Caenorhabditis elegans: one gene and its partner. The protein of the gene in region 1 interacts with the protein of each later gene in a pairwise test. Each region holds a gene or a part of one and is shown in the gene's direction. Other genes may lie near its edges.

Evidence for each region.
Region 2: the proteins of dma-1 (region 1) and hpo-30 come close enough for resonance energy transfer, tested with the Caenorhabditis elegans proteins (one study listed by BioGRID).

What each region holds. Positions count from the first base shown.
Region 1 is NC_003279.8:8,278,527-8,287,466, forward strand, and holds dma-1 (LRRCT domain-containing protein), read left to right. Parts: upstream 1-3,442; 5' UTR 3,443-3,539; coding exon 3,540-3,743; intron 3,744-3,819; coding exon 3,820-4,651; intron 4,652-4,803; coding exon 4,804-4,988; intron 4,989-5,085; coding exon 5,086-5,214; intron 5,215-5,263; coding exon 5,264-5,371; intron 5,372-5,418; coding exon 5,419-5,772; 3' UTR 5,773-5,951; downstream 5,952-8,940. Other genes in the region: phaf-1 (PHAF1 protein T01G9.2), read right to left, coding at 7,527-7,602, 8,067-8,128, 8,177-8,250, 8,296-8,408, 8,454-8,557, 8,754-8,928.
Region 2 is NC_003283.11:12,306,365-12,314,478, reverse strand, and holds hpo-30 (Clc-like protein), read left to right. Parts: upstream 1-4,122; 5' UTR 4,123-4,136; coding exon 4,137-4,238; intron 4,239-4,290; coding exon 4,291-4,402; intron 4,403-4,446; coding exon 4,447-4,554; intron 4,555-4,969; coding exon 4,970-5,235; intron 5,236-5,291; coding exon 5,292-5,449; intron 5,450-5,536; coding exon 5,537-5,630; 3' UTR 5,631-5,754; downstream 5,755-8,114. Other genes in the region: srg-45 (Serpentine receptor class gamma), read right to left, coding at 5,821-5,898, 5,946-6,254, 6,325-6,465, 6,511-6,638, 6,746-6,989.

The sequences.
Region 1 (8,940 bases):
GAAATTTAGAATCTAAATTCAAATCCTAACTACACGCACCAAAGTGTTTAAGGAATAGACCAAGGATCAAAAAGCTACATGAAAATGAGCACATCAACAAGAGTTCAACGGAGACAGATTCTTATTCATCTTCTCTGTTCCTCTGACAGTAACTGCATAAACATCCGCACTGACCCCTTTATAATCCATTCAACTTCATTCTGATGCACTACTTGATGCTTTTTGTCAACCAAATTGTTCGCCGCGCGTCCCATCTATTTCATAATCTTCCTGGTTTCGAAACGAAAAGTGTCAAGTTGAATAGCACCAATCGCCTGTCAAATTGCTTGCCCACCCAACCAGATATAGTGTCCGAGTTTTAATTTCGCATATCCCGCAATGCTAAATGTACGGTTAATAATAGGTATTGTGACCAGCCTCTCCCCTTCAAAATGTTCCGACAAATTGTTACTGCTGTCCGAGGGAATCTTCATGATGATCATAATAGCGGCGGTCAGAAGCTCCGAAATGATTAATTGCCAAAGCATTTCACACCACTAAATGGTCCCTCCGGAAGAAGTTGCACGCCTATTTGTGGTGGTCCCATCGTTTCAATTCGATAATCTTATCGCTTTGAACTCTCCGCCAAGGCATCAATGGGTATGATGAACCTACGGATTAGCTTTGTAACGTTAAAGTGGCGAAACACCTGTCCAATGTCTTACTACCCTTTTGCCATTATAATCTTATACATACTCGGCGTTTGCCGCCAGCTTCCTACCCAAGGCTTCGCAACTTCTTACCCAAGCCTTGCCCAAAAAATAAAAACATTTATAAGGAGTTGCCAAGACTTGGGTAAACCTTGGGCAAGAGTTGGGCGCCGCCCCTGCTGAGCCATGATGGTCGCGCGAAAAGATGCACACTCGTAAAAATATATAGTACTCATATTCTGATAGATATTTTTGAGGAAGTACCAGACATATCGGATTGATACGGTATTCTCACATACCTTATTTCATTTTTTTTTTCAAGTGTGCTCCCTAATGATTCTAAGTTCAGAATTTACAGAATTACTGTAATTCATGTTTGTTTCATGTCTTTCAATTTTATAAAAGTTTACATTTCAAAGGAACAGTTCAGTCTTAGAAAAATTCAAAATTTGATGCATAGGATTGACTGACTATTACTTGACTATTGGACTGACTAGGAGAAGAATAATCCTGAAGATAACTTTTCTTTTTATTTTTAGATAAATTAAATGGTTTATTAGACAAAATGGCAATAAAAAGCAAACTTTGTTCGTACATTTTTTAAACAATGTTAGCCATCAGAGAAAAATATTTAGAATTTGCCTTTGAAGGGACAAGTTTTCCTGTGAATTCTTTCAATTACATTGAAATTCCTCTATTTTAAATACAAATTACTCAAAAGACAAAGTGTCGATTTACGCTAAAAATTGCGCATGCGGGATTTCGGAATCTTGTTCGTTCTTTACATCTGCAAACTTGGGTAAGAAGTTGGCAAAACTTGGCTAAGACTTGGGCAAGACTCGGGCGAGGGAGTTTACACTAGAATTGTTGAAGTTGGGTAAGACTTGGGCATACACTGGGCTAGAAGTTGGCAAGAGTTGGGTAAGAAGCTGAAAAGGCCCAAACTTGGGGAAGAAGCTGCCGGGAATTGCCGAGTATATATGTATATTCCTATTTTCCCGGCGGGAGTTCCACTCCCAATACGCTCGTAAAATATTTTCATCGTAGAATAGAAAACTTGTCGAAAATGAGTGTCAGTTCCATGGACACGTCCTCCAGAGAGTTCGTGCATACAAAATGATACATCAAACATTTGAAGGGCACCGCAACACAATGCGCAAATCCTCACACACATACGCCAACACTTTCTTCAGGTGTGATAAATGAAAAGAGTGCGAGAGCTTGTGTGACATGTCAATCGGTGTGTGGATAAATTACCCCAAACACACACTTCCGATAGTGACAGCCGTGGTGTTCGTCACTCCACACGAGGATAACCGAACGCGGGTGCTCACCGAGATTCACACCATCTTAATTGGTCTGTCTGTGATGAGCGGGCTTGGAAGAGCGAAAGACAACGAATGCGGTGGAATTGGGTTAAAGTTTGCCGACAACCCGGAAAAGATTCAATCTCAAACGGAAATTGAACATTTTGATTAATGAGTTTATAAGCGAAAATGTGTTGGAAGGAGCAATTTGACACTTTCTTTGGGTTTTGGATGCTGACGGGAATATCTTGCAATGAGATTGATTGGGTGTTGACATACAGTTTGAGAGGTCTCTTGCATTAGTCATTGGTCTTTATGATTTACCGAATCGTCGGATAAGAATCAGTATGCGAAATTAAGCATAATTTTATAAGAACGTTTTTCATGAAAATACTTCGTAAAGCTTTTATGACACGGTATGGATATTTACTGTAAAGTACCGTATTCCTCTAATTGAATTTACAGTATTCCCCTCGGTTGACCGGATAAAAAACAGCTCATTATTTGTCCACAGGATCCTTTATTCGATGCCAAGTGTATTCTGTGGTACTCGATATGACGGATGAATTACCACCAAATTTGAACCATATGTCGTCGACAATTCCGATGCTTGTCTTCTCCCACCACTTGTCGTCGTCATCTTCTGCTCAATTATCTTCGCACCATAGTCAATATGAACACTATCCAGAGAAAAGAGTCACCATCACCTTTTATTACCACACACACACACACGGGTACACCAATAAAAGGGCAAGTCGTAAACGAAAAGCGCCTGCCTGCTGACATTTGGTGATGCCCACCCTTTCACATCTGGCATCCTTGACCACTATTACAGGAAGACGTTTGTTTTTTTTCAATGCCCGTTTGAATCACTTTAGAGCATTCTCTATAATTTGGAGCTTTCGTAAAATCACTTTGAAGGGAAAATTGAAGAAATCTAGGGAACAGCCGGGTGCAATCGAGAACGGGGGCGAGTGGAGCTGCACAATTTAACAGAACCTCATGAATATATGATAAGTTCGTGAATGCAATCTCCATCAGAAACCTTAGCATGACGTTGAGATTTTAGGAGCAAAGTTTTGCTTGAGCTCAGATGATAATGATATTACATAGATCTTCACATAGATAAGCTCAACTTCGTCCTTGGAGATGGTTCTGAAATTTTTTAGAACTATTATATTCAGTCAAACACCCTCTTGCTTCCAAGAAAACTCAAGCATCCACCACCCGACGCCAAAAACGCCTGAAGCGGGAATAGATTTTCTTTTAGTGGTGTGATAATTGCCACCCTCTGGTACATGAAAACAACATTAGGTGGTGCTGTCAGGCACACATTGCTTCTTCCTCTTCTATCCGGTCATCCTTCTTCTTCTTCTTCCCATGGGTGGTGTCTCTGTTGACCCTCCTTCGCCTTAAGCCCCGCCCCTTTATCCGCCCGTCCCCTTCGCCTTCTCATGGTGTTTTGCCTCACGTTTGCTGCTTCTAGCTGCTGTGTTGTTTGTCTTCTGGAGAAGTCAAGGATTCTTTGTTCCGAATTGGAACAATGATTTCATACATTTTGCTTTTATTTTTAAGTTTTTTGGTATTATGCTCTATTGCACTACCATCATCATGTCCGAATCTTTGTGAATGCGATCAAAATGACTCGTCTTGGAGTGTTTATTGTCGAAAGGCAATCATAAACGATACGATTTACGCGGAAATTCTAAACCAACTTCCGTTGACTCTTCGATCACTTCATATTCAGGTTAGTAAACGATAAGATCTAAAACCACAACGTCCGTCCGTCAATCTAATCCCTTCATTTACATAAATTGTTTTAGCCGCCCTCAAATCGCATTGGTTCTAACAAACTTCGATGGAATGACAACATAAACCGTTTTGCACAGCTTCGAGTTCTTCGTCTCATCAATTGTCAGATTCCAGCAATGTCCCGATCCATTCGACTGCCATCTTTGGAAGTATTAGATCTACACTCAAACAATATTGAGCATGCGACAATGAGCAACTTTGGTGGTATGCCAAAACTTCGAGTATTGGATTTATCATCGAATCATTTGAATATTCTTCCAACTGGAGTATTCACATATCTTAGAGCCCTGCGATCATTGTCTCTATCCAATAATACTATCAGTGATCTTTCTACAAATTTACTTCGAGGTCTCAATTCTCTTCGAGTTCTACGACTAGACCGGAATCCTATTCCAATTGAACACATCAATGAGTTATTCACAGATGTTTCCCAATTGGATGAATTATATTTGAATCATTGCAATCTTTCATCAATTTATTCTCTGGCTCTTGATCGTATTCCTCAACTCCGTCAACTTGGAATCGGAGGAAATAATCTCAAAATGGTTCCAACTAAAGAACTGAGATCTCTTCCTCAACTTTCTGTTCTCGACTTGTCTCACAATTCCATTCAAGAAATCACAGCCTGTGCATTTTGCAATACGAATATCTCAAAATTGGATCTTTCCCACAATTTGCTCGGAATTTCGAAAGACTCTCCGTTTAACGAGGATGCGTTCCGAACGATGCCATTACGTCATCTGGATTTGTCATTCAATCATATGAATGATTTTGACTCAAAATGGTTGGGATGGGCACAAGAAGAGCTGACTTCGATTGCATTGTCAGGAAATTTCTTGAAAAGTGAGTTTTTGTAGCAAAAGTTAAAATAACCCCAAAACTAGATTTTTAAAACTTTTTAGATTGTTTTTAATTTAAAAGTTTTTCCGATTTTTAAATTTGAAGAACGGTTTTTCAAAGTTACTAGAGATGGCATAATTAATTTGTAATTTTAGATTTCGAGGAGTCATGGACCTATACATTGAAGTCGTTGATTCATCTCGAACTGGCCTACAACCACATCAAATTCATCCCGGTACAGCTGCCGTCTCGCTATTACCACCTGATTTCATTGAACATTTCCGGAAATGAATTGACTTATTTGCCTGACAATATCAACACTTTGCTTCCAAATGTGAAAGTATGTCCATTTTCTATACGAAATTCGAAGCGTTTGTGGACCCCCTTATATGGGGACACGCATGTCATTTGAAACCTGCTCACTGAGATTTCTTTAGACTTTCGACATCACAGCCAACCGATTCCACACCTTCTCGCATACAGATTTGGCATTCCTAAATAATGTTGAACAAGTGTACGTAGATGGAAATCCTTGGGATTGTTCATGTGCTATTCAAGGACTTCAAGTGAGTCTTTTCCTCTCTTATTTCTGAATTAATTCGAACATCTTTTCAGGTTCATATGCGAGATCGTTATGCGATGAGACACATTCTCAACTACGATAATGTCCGATGCGCGACACCATCGCTTGTGGAAGGTCATTCAGTTCTGGCAATTACCGACGTAAGATTCACATTCACGTTATTAATTTCACTATTTAAAAACTTCAGGTAAACGACTGTGCCGTTTTGTTTGGTGCACGGTATGGATTAACGCAAACAAGTGAAATGCTCATACTTCTCGCAGGAGTTCTCCTTTTTGCCGCACTACTTCTTATGATTCTTGGATGCATCTATTTCCTTCGTGAGCGACAGTACAAAGGATCATATGTGACACGAGAACACTCTCGAACTCCACTCACGATGGCAAACACACATAGTTGCTCTTCGAGTACAAATGATACACATGGTCCATTATCACCACCATTTGATCCATTCTTGGTTAGTACTGAAACATTTAAAGCCACTCCTCCATTGATTCCACCAGCACCTCCAAAACCTGGATCATCCTATTTTGGCATTTAAATATCCTTTTGAGAGTTTCAAATGTTTCAAAAATCTAAATCCGTGTGATTATTTGCATCCATCTAGTCGTTCGATCTCCCAGCCCCATTTTCATGTATTTTTGCCCCCTTTTTCGATACGGTGTTCAATTGTTTAACCCTTTGTCTGTAAATAAAATAAACTGCTCGTAGATATACCAAGTTCAATGAAATAGACAGGAGCCTTAATCAGCAGCATAATAGTAGTTTTCAAGAGGTAAGACACCTCTTCTCGGCCGTAAATCCGTCGGCAAAGAAGTAATAAATCGGCGAGGCTGTTGTCTTTACGCCCTGGTTCTCTGTGGGGGTCAACTCATTTGTCAAATGCACACCAAGACAAATGCATAATTGAGAAGGTTTCGAGAAGGAGAGTTGACTTTTTCGTTTAAAAAAACTCCGCGGGAAAATCTCCGTAGCCACAAAATTTTGACGTTTATGAATTGAAAATTGGTTGTTCGACAGGGACTCGTTAATTTATGAGTTTATGAGCCATTCGAATAATAAATTGATGTGCGTATGTATGTGCACACGCGCGCGAATTCGTGGATGTAGATTGCACAATCTGTTATGACACGTCGTCTCATCCGTTAGATTCCCAAGTGACACCCAAAACAATTGGAGTAAGCCAATGCCAATTAAGTTGGATAGATGACCACGAAGAACAAGACATAACTATGAAAAATGACGGATCGGTGTTCGTCGCACAAGTACACATGTAAACATCCGTCTCTTTCGATAATTACCACTATTCTATGCTTTTGAACAGTCAATAAAATTGTATACTTTCAGTTTGAGTATACAATTTTGTGATCGAATTTCTCTACGATTCAATAAACAAAAGCATCAATCTTCTGGAAGTCAACCAAAGCTTCTTGGATCAAAAAGAAGTAGTCTTGTTGAAACTACAAAAGCTAATTTCCAAGACTTGCCATCGTATGTTCGCGCGTGGTTTTAAATTAATTGACATCTTTCTTGTATAAATATTCTTTATATGGCAGCACATCTGCCTCATATTCAAAATTCCGGGGGAATTTGTTAATGAAGATTTAATATATCGACGACAAATTCAAAACCCAAAACCTTTGGTATAGATCCATTGTGGGTAGAAGCCTACTGTTGGTGTCCATAAACGGCGAATCACCTGTGTAAGGATCGTGAGCGTCGGTAAAAGTTTTCTATGAGCTAAAAAGACTACAATTTCAGGAAACCATGACGCAGGAAATTTTCAATCATACAAAAGCTTTCATCATTGACCATAGCTGTGTTTTCTTTGAAATTCTGATCCATCTTCCGACAAAAAATGAATTGACACCTTCTTTGTCCTCTCATTCAGTTTCTTTACTGCTTGATGAAATAAACTGTGCGGTGTCAAAAAACGAAGGTCATTAGTGTGTAGTAGTAATTCAGTCGTCTTCTTGTTAAATGTAGCAGATGAAAATTCGTACAAGTGTCACAAACGAAGAGTCTCTCTCTCTCTCTCTCTCTCTCTACAGAGTCGTAAATCTTTCCGGACGCCATGGACATGCAAGAGGGAGCCACCACTACGATTACCCAGATTATTATCATATGCGGAAGAAAGATTTGTCTACAATAGCCATTGCGTGTGCATTAGCGATCCCTTTCCCGGATATGTTCAATTACAAGGGATTGGAACATTAACTTCGACTCATTGACAGACAAAATATAGTACCCAATAGCAAGAATTGCTACAGTAATCTAAATCCCTAAAAACCTTACCAATCCCATTACAAAGTAGTTGAAGAAGAAATTTGGTGGTCCATAGAGTGTCTCCTTGTGAAGTCCACGATGAATTCTGGAAATTTTCAATATTCAGATGAAGCGGAAATTTTGATAAAGCTAGAAACTGTTAATGGTTAAATTTTAAAAACTTCAGTTTTCGAGAAATTTTAGGCGTTCCTGAATTTTTAAATATTTTTTTAATGAAATTTTCTGAAATCTTTTAACTTTTTTTTTCAAAATTTATCCTTTTTAAATATTAGTTGGAAAGTTGTTAAATAAATTTCAGGCATTTTGAAAAAAAAGAACTTTTTTCACAATTTTTTAATTTATTCATTGGATATTGCTGAATATCAACAAAATGCTATATGAATTATTTTTAATTGATATAAAACGCTTACATTGAAACCCTTCAACTTTTTTTAAGAAAATTTTTCTTCAAAAATTGTTTAAATTTTCAGTGGAAAATTCAACATCTATTGAAAATAAATCTAAATTTGTGAGAAAAGAATTTGAATTTTCAAGAGAACGAGAACGTACTTCATCTTGTCATCGGACTTGTAGAAGACCTTTGTCGGGGCTCCAAGAATCGATTGCACATCCTAAAATTTAAATTTTTAGAACAAATTTTTTTGATTGAGAAAACCAACCGAAACAGAGTCTCCAAAATAGATTTGTCGTGTGTACGTGGATACATCATACTCTCCATCGACAATTCTTCCGTCTGCAAATATTCACTTTTTTTAATAATTTCAAAAAATTCCAGTACTTTGAGTATCAAATTGAATATCAATTCCAACAATATTCCCATTTTCCCAAATTGCTTCGACTTTTCTCGTCCGATTTTGACCACAATAACACGAGAATGGAGTATCCACGGATCTTCAAATTTTGAGAAATAAATAGAAATAAATAATAAATTCTCACTCTGGCTCAGATGGATTTGGTCCACGATAAATGGACATCTTGGTAAGTTTTGGTTGAGAGTTGGCATCATATTTCAGCGAACGAAGATTTCCACCAAATCCAGGCTGAAATTGAAGAATGTTTGAAATTTCGGTTTTTGGGAGATATAAAAAACTTTTTGGAAATTAAAGGTGAAGTAGCGGCTGTAGGTTAGAAAAAACTCTTTTAATTTTTTACTATATTCGGTATCGTATTTTTGATTCGAAAAAACCCACAGACGGTACTCCAACTTTAATACCCAAAAAGATCAAACTACAGTACCCTGACTTCCAAATTCGAATTTTCTCCTCCATATGGGAAACAGAAAGATAATCCCGGCCAACTTTGCACATAGATATTGTGCTTATCATCATATGATCCTGGATGTGTCGATCCAAAAAATTCGTTGACCCGATCCAACGTCGCCATGTTATTTGGATCAGAGAAGATTGTATCGCTGAAAATTTTT
Region 2 (8,114 bases), on another chromosome or scaffold:
TCTGAGGGGTTATGGGTTACTGTCGGTTAACTTGCTTAACCTATGATATAACATGGATCTATGATATTTCAGATCTACCTAACCCTAATCAAATTAACCAAATATGTTTTCTCGCCTAAATACGAGAAAAATTCGATTCGGTCCCAAAACGAACAAAAACTGTTTTCGCAATGGGATGTGCACCTTTAAATAAATAGTACTGTAGCTTCTTACTTTCTTACTCTCACAATGTTTTTGCTTTTTTTTCTATTTCTCACTCGGCCCTCCGATTTTAGAAAATTTGTTGTTTATATTCCCTCGTTTTCTTCTATTTGCAGAAAAAAATTGGGGTCGAAGAACAACAGTACATAAACACATTTCTTACTGTACATATAGTATTTGTTCGCTTTGAGACCTGGCACCGTATCTTTGAGTAAGAATAACGCATTTCTTAAAACTAGATAATAGAAATTTGCACTCTGTACCTAAAAGTTTGAGCATCTGGCGAAACTGATTCTTCCAGAAACTGAAAGAGTACATGAAACCACCGTTAACCTGGTCCAGTCTTCAATTGGAAGCAAGGATGGATTTCACCCGTAAAATTTAAAAAAAAACGGGTGATCGGGTCACCCGTCACCCGCGAAAACGCCCAAAAACGGGTGAACGGGTGAAACGGGTCACGGGTGAATCCATCCCTGATTGGAAGGGTTCTTTTCTTCAAGTAGATATAAAATATTCGCTATTAAAAGTTCGTTAAAATAATTTTAAAACATTTTTCTCATTAATATCACATATTTGTATTCAATATGTTTCAAAACATTGGAGAATATTCGGAAATCATTTCCACATTTCTTGAACTCTCTGTGGAATCCATCTTGTCCCTGCAGTTCATCAGAAGAACACATCAAGTTCGTTTGTGGTCTTCCGTCTACATTCAAGCTCATTCTTCATTCTTTTTTTCATTTTTCTTTTTTTTTGTTCTTCAACTTCATCTGCCCCTTTCAATTTGACCGATTGGTTTCTTTTTTCGAATGAAACGAGATTTCCGGAATTTCAGTCGAAACCTCTTTTTGGTTTCCATTTCGTTCTAGGAAATTAGGTTTTATCTGAAAAAGCAGGCACGACCAGAATTTCTGGTTTTGGTTGTGAAACAAATAACCTTGGGCTCAGCGTTGTGTTTCTGAAGATGACTATTTTTCTGAAAACTCCACGATGTTCCTGTTTCTCATTTTTGGGAGCTTTTCCAATTTCATGCTCTTCGTTCAATACTTAATTTCTGCGTCATTTCGTGAGAGTTTTGGTCTGAACCAGTAAGTGCAAATACTTTTATGAATTTTGACCTGTTATAGGTTATGTAAGTGCCTTAAGTTTATTGTTCTTTATGCTTGAAGACCCGGAGATCTACCGAAAAAGTAACTGATTGTTCTCAGTTGTACTAGATGAACATGTTATCAGGGTTTTATATAGTTTTATACCCAAATACGTTTCCCTCATATCTGGGCTCTTTTATCACACTTCTACATCGAATTATTTTCTTGTTTCCTTTTACATATGCCCACCAAGCCTGAAAATGCCTCGAATGTCTATAACCAGAAAACAAAATTGAATCACCAAGATTTGAGCGGCCGAAATTGAGAAACGAAGCACTACACTGTTCGAGGAAATACGGTATCTACTGTACATAATTGTGACATTATTCATACATAGATTTCTGATAAATATGATTTCCATACCAATTTGAACATTACATGTATTTTTTTGAGTTCCCGTCATTTTGAAATGAACTTGAAATTTGTAAGCATAATGTACAATCGTTGACCCAATAGAAGCAATTGCATTTTGCAACAAATTCCAGGATCACGTCAACTTTTGATGTCTCTGGTCTTCTTTTAAAACTAGATTACCCTTCCACAAAAATAGATTAATGAAAGTGTTAAAGAGCGGGTGGTGGCGTGGTTCTTCAATTTATTTCCGAGGAACCTCTCATTCCAGCACACAAACAATATCCTCCATCTTTTTCACGTTTCCACAGCCAATTTTTCCCTCCTCACATTCTCCTTCATTTCCATCATTCATTTTATTTTTTGTGTGTTTGTCTTGATGACAAATGTTCGGCAATTCATCATTTTTTTTAGTCGCTTTAAGGAAATCCAGAGTCTCCGCCTTCTCAACGAACAATTTGCGGAGAGTGCACCTACGATTTAGAATTTAGGAGATTTCATGCATTGGAAATGAGAAAAATGGGTGAATAGCATTTTCTCACCTTTTCTTAGCGGTTCTTGCATTTCAAAATGTTTCATAGAATCTGAAAATAAAAAAAGTTCATTCTCATGTCTAGCTTTTTTTTGAATGAATGAAAAAATTGTCTTCCAGTTAGTGTTACTGAAAAATATTTACTTAATGATTTTTTGATATATGCAAAATGCAACAAGATTTAAATTATTTTTTAAAAAAAGTTAAATTTTCTCAGCAACATGCCCAGAATCCTGCCGAAATTTTTCTTTCGATACCTGCAATACCTAAAAAGATAATTACATTTTTCTTCTTAGAAATGAATATACAAGCCCCCCTCATCGCCTTATCTGCATGAGAAATAAAAATACGCCCAACTAAAAAGTAATTCCACTTGTTTTTGCGTCAGGCTATATTCGTTTTTCTTAAAGTCAGTGTTTATTGATCTTCTTCAATTTGAGAAAATTAGTCTGATGACCTCTATACAAGGATATGTCAATAGAAACTGACATTTGGACTTTGCATAAAATTGAAAAAGAAGCGGCGGGAAGAGATGAAAACAAACTTTAATTCGATGAGACGTTTTCTGAGTTTTCGAGGAAAAAGGTTCCAACATCCTCTACACCTTTCAAATATTCCAAATTATATTTGAACTAGGTGGACACTTTAATTGTAGTTATATTTTCGTTTCCAACATCATTCACTTAAATCCGCTCTTTGAACATTTATTTCTCAATTTCTTCTCCGTGGGAATTTCAAGTGCTTTGGTTTTTTTGTAAATGCCATAAACTCATAGCTAATCCAAAATTGTATTTTATATATGTGTTTTGAGTGTGCTTTGAATAATTCGACCATATGTCAAGTGTTCGTTTTCCTTCCCTCTTCCGGAAATGTTGCCAAAATTTCGAAACTGGACATCTTCTTGTCTATCAAAAATCGAGATACAATCTTGAGTGGCTCTGTTGGGTTTCGTAATTTTCAAATTTGTTGATTTTTCACGAAAAGCGACTTATTTGGGTTTGTTATGTAATTTCATTGCGTTAATTCATAAAAATTTGAGTTTTATTTTTCTGATGATTGCATTGGTTCTGTTTTTCTCACTTTGGCTGGTTCATAGAAATCTATAAAAATGAAACTCAGAACATGTAGAAAAGTAGGCTACGCTTGTAATGTACTCCTATGGTCAACATCTTTCTTTCAACACCTAATAAATCTTTTGCACACATTCTCAGCTGTTCCAGGCCCTAAGGGAACTCAAGACGTGCAATTTCCAAGTTGCTCTCTTCCATACCAAAATGTCTCGTCTAGTTTTTTTTTTCATCATTTGTTCTACTTACATCTTGACTGTCAGTAATTTTGGGCATTTTCTAATTCTCATTCATTTGTTTTTTTTACTTTCTTTGAGTTCCAATTAAGAAACGAGATAGAATAGAAACGAGACAATGAAAAGAAAAAAGTTCGTTTAAAATTCTATTTTGTTCTGAATAACTTCCATGACTTCAGTCAAGGACAATAGCTTGTTTTGAAGGCATTTGAGATTTCTGGACACTTGCGCAATATAACTAAACAGATACGAAGCAATAGTTGAATTCATTTACGTGTCTACACACCTGGTTTATTATGTTTTTGCTGCTTTTGTTTTCTTTTATAGCAGAAGAAAGTTTTCTCCTCAAACTTCAGAGTTTTCACAATTCTCATTAAACATCCTTAAAAGTATTCCGATATTTTCTCACCCTGCAAAAGCAAAAAGATAATCCAATACCCTTCTCTCACTCCATTTCTACGTATTCTTCCGTTCATTCCTCCAATTCAAGTGCCCACTTGATCTTCCTTGAAATTCGAGACTCACGACTTCTCCTTTTAACTAGCACTTTTAACACGTTTCCACATTCTTCTAGTTTAAGATTTTTCAGAGTAACCACGGAATGCCATTAATTATGTACAAATTTCTATTAGTCACTTCAATATTCTTAATCGTTTCCGGGCTAATATTAACTGCGTTCTCGTTGTTTAGTCCTCTTTGGGAAGTAAGTTTCTAGTCAATAAAATTCTGGTTTTTTTTAAATGTCAATTTTGTAGGTAGTTGATTTTCCTCGTTCTCATTTATCACATCATCACGGTCTTTGGTGGGATTGTATTGTACATCATGAAACTTTAATTCCGTTACATGAAGATCAAGCAGAACTTCGAGGTACCTTTTTTCTGCTTTTGTTTTCTAAATAAAACAAGTTTAAGGTGATCGATGTGATAGTAAGATGGATTCTTCGGTTCAAGCATCATTAAGAGTTGCTCTTGAAAAAGGAGATGAAGAGGCCAGAGAGCTTTTGTTACATCGGTTTCTACGTAAGTTAACAATATTTTAATGCTTTTCATGTGCCGAAACTTACTTTTTTCTTTGTTAGAAAGATAAACTAGAAACTATATAAAACTGATTTACCAAATGCAGGTTCAAGTTATTTTTTAAAATAATTAGAGTGTGAGCGTAGTAGTTCAATAATTTGTTGATCAATTTTCTCTTTCTGGATACAGAAGCGTATTGGCATTGCAACGTACATACACATGTTTGGTTCCATGCTATTAATTCAATTGATTTTCTGTCTTAAATTCTAGGACTGTAATGCTATTTTTTGTAATTTAGTATTTTCTGATCTAGAATATGCGGTAACAATAAATTAGATTTTACTGTCCAAACACAAAATTACTGAAGATACAAGTTGATTTTATATTCTTCATGAAACCAAAAAAAAATTAATTTCAGCTCATCACAAAGGTGTAATTTTCTTCGCAGTTTTCACTTTTGTTTTCGGACTAATCTCCATCCTGATTGGCTCCTGTTCTCCATGTTTTCCACCAAATGCACTACTTTATGTAGTTGGTGTCTTTATGACCGGAGCATGTTCTTTATTAGCAGATATTATCTACATATTTGCTTTTAATCAGAAACCAATTTTTACAAAAGAACAATCTGAGCCACACCAAGAAGTTTTATCGAGAAGAGAACGAGGATCCATTGGACCCATTTATGTAAAAATTCGAAAAAAAATTGATGTCATCTTTTTATTTTTTTTTTCAAATTCCAGAAGCGTCTTGGCATTGCAACGTACATGCATATGTTTGGTTCCATGCTATTAATTGCTGCATTCATCTTTTCAATTTTTTGTGCCTACTTCCTCATCACTTCAAAACATGCACACGACGTTTGTTGCACAAGTCGAAAAGAGTACAGAGAGCAGACAAAGTAAGTTTAATCTGATTTGCGGATTTTTCTAAACATGTAACTTTCGTCTAATAAAACAACTTTCAAGAGTAAAATAAAGGTTTTCAGATGGAAAAACAATGGGCTAATTCTAAAAACTGGAAGAGTAAATCATCAATCACATCGGCCATTTGTAGTGATTGACGATGACAGCAGTATGTGAACTGATATGCTCTCAATTTAAAAATTCTGTGATTTGATCTCTTTATTTTGAAATACGGGTTTTTAACAATTTGATCTTAATAATGAATGTAAATAATGTTCAATTAATAAATGTAAAACAAGAAGTTTCAAAATCAAATTGGAATTTTAAAAATAATTTGTGTCTTTCCATACACTCGCATTTTCATAACTTAGTTTGTCAAAGATCGTACTTGGAGAATCGTTGCTTTAGGTTTTATACCAAACAATATCAAAATTTCTTTTCTCATCTGAAAATCAGGATATAACATTCTTGAGACTATATTTCAACCCTCACAGTTTTACTAAAACAAATCAACAGCCAAGGTTGCACCAAAGATAAACCGTCACTAACAAATGGTAGAACCATTGTAAGATATGATAACATAGAACAATAGTTGCACTTCAATAAAGCAATAGAAATTATTGTTCCAATAAGTTGGACTAAACATGTTATAGACATTATGAGTAAAAAGTTTGTTTCCGCTTTTTTTCTTTGAATATTCAGATTTCGTAAAAATATGACACTTGTAGTATTGGAAAGAATTGAAATTGCCATACAAATGCACATAAATGGAATTAATACATTGTAAATTTCTATGAATGGCTGAAACCTCAATCAAGTTATTTATTTATTTATTTTTATTTTTTTTTGTTTTGTAAAAGTTTCCGCCCACCATATTTGGGGTTTGCAATGTGTAAGAGTCGCTTTCGTTGAGATAGTCAATTGTGAATTTATTTTGAAAAATAATATGAGTGTTGAGAAAGGGAACAAAATAAGCAACTAGAATAAATAACCATGTAATTTTTTTCCAAATCTGAAATTCTATTTGTGTCTTTGAATTCGTCGTAGATTGATTTACCGGTTCGAAAATGTTATACTTAAACAATACTGTCAACCGATTCAAAGAAACAAGAGTTGTTAAAGCGTATTGAACATATGCCATATGATAAGCCATTGTACCCATAAATGTTAAGGGCAAAAAATTACCTGGAAACTAAATTTTATGAAATCTACTACCGGTCGTTTAAAATCAAGTATTTTTTTTAGCTAGGTTTCAGTAGTATATGCACGAAATTTTTCACCGTGGAACTAACCTATGTGTCTGAAAATTGGTGCCATCAAACAGTTATAACACGTTATACTGGTAAGTCGCATGAAGACGAGTCCCATTATGTAGGTGAAAATGTTCATAAATCCGTCAAACATAAAAATTTGGTAAAACGATGAATCAAATAATTTATTGTTTTTGATAATAACTATGCAAGTTGTGATATAAAGTGCTACGGATGGAATACCATAAATAACAGAAGAAATGAAAGTAGTTAGGTTTCCGTTCATTTTGAAATATTAATAGAAATTTCAGTAAAAAGAAGAATTCGTTAAGCCTATTCTGAATCCCAGACAATTTTAGGAAAAAAGGTGTGAAAATAATTATGAAATATCATGAATTCTGCACGTAGATTTCGAAAAATATGTGAGGGGATCAGTTTCCAACAATGTACTCATAGACATCAATGCGAATACTCATCGAACCGAAAATACTTCAGAATCGATGTTTATTTCAGAAAGGAAGCAAATGTGATTGTTGAGTAGAATTTTTGAAAATAGGTTTCTCTGAATTTTTCCGTAAGGAAATTGTCTATTGTGTCATGAGGATCACAAAGATCTTTGACTTTAAAGCCCGAATAAATTGGGATCTAGAACATTGTTCCAAAATATCTGGAGGTTCCATCGAACATATAAACTGGAAAATTGAGAAAAATCAATTGATAAATTCTAGTTCCAACAGTTGTTATCATCGAGTTAGCTTGTATAGAATGTTCCTAAAATGCAACATTTTTAAATTTAATAAAAAAATTCTCCCGTTTATTGTTTGATGCTAAGGGTTCGTTGATGATTATGACTTGCAAACACAAAAAAGAAGAAACGAGGCGTTGTTGGAAGTTCGGAACACATGAGAAATGTCTATGGGGAAACGGCGGAGGAAAAATGAGCAGCACACAAGCACACAAAAATTGTCGGAAAGTTTGAAAAATATAGAGAGGCAAATCACCAATATGGCAAGGTTTTTGTGGGAGGGTGGAATAAGTGAGAGCAAAAAAAACAATAAATTGTACAGAATAGGCAAAAAAGAAAACAAGGGTGATATTGAGCATGGTTTTTTGTTGAGCATTGACATTTTGGAATTCAAAAAGAAGCGTATTATTCAAACAGGAGAGTATGAAAGTACGCTTGATTGAAAATGAAAAGATTATAAAAAGAGCAGAACTTTCACTTCTACACCCGTACAAATAATATGCAATATAGGTGAGCTGGGAGGGCTGGGCAAGTCTTCTATACGAACATTTCTACGAAAAACTGGAAAACAACAGATATATAAATTGTTGAAAAAAGAATCACTGAGAATTGCAGAACCACGTGTCGGAAATGATGATGATGTCTTGAACTGTGAGCTTTTGTGCT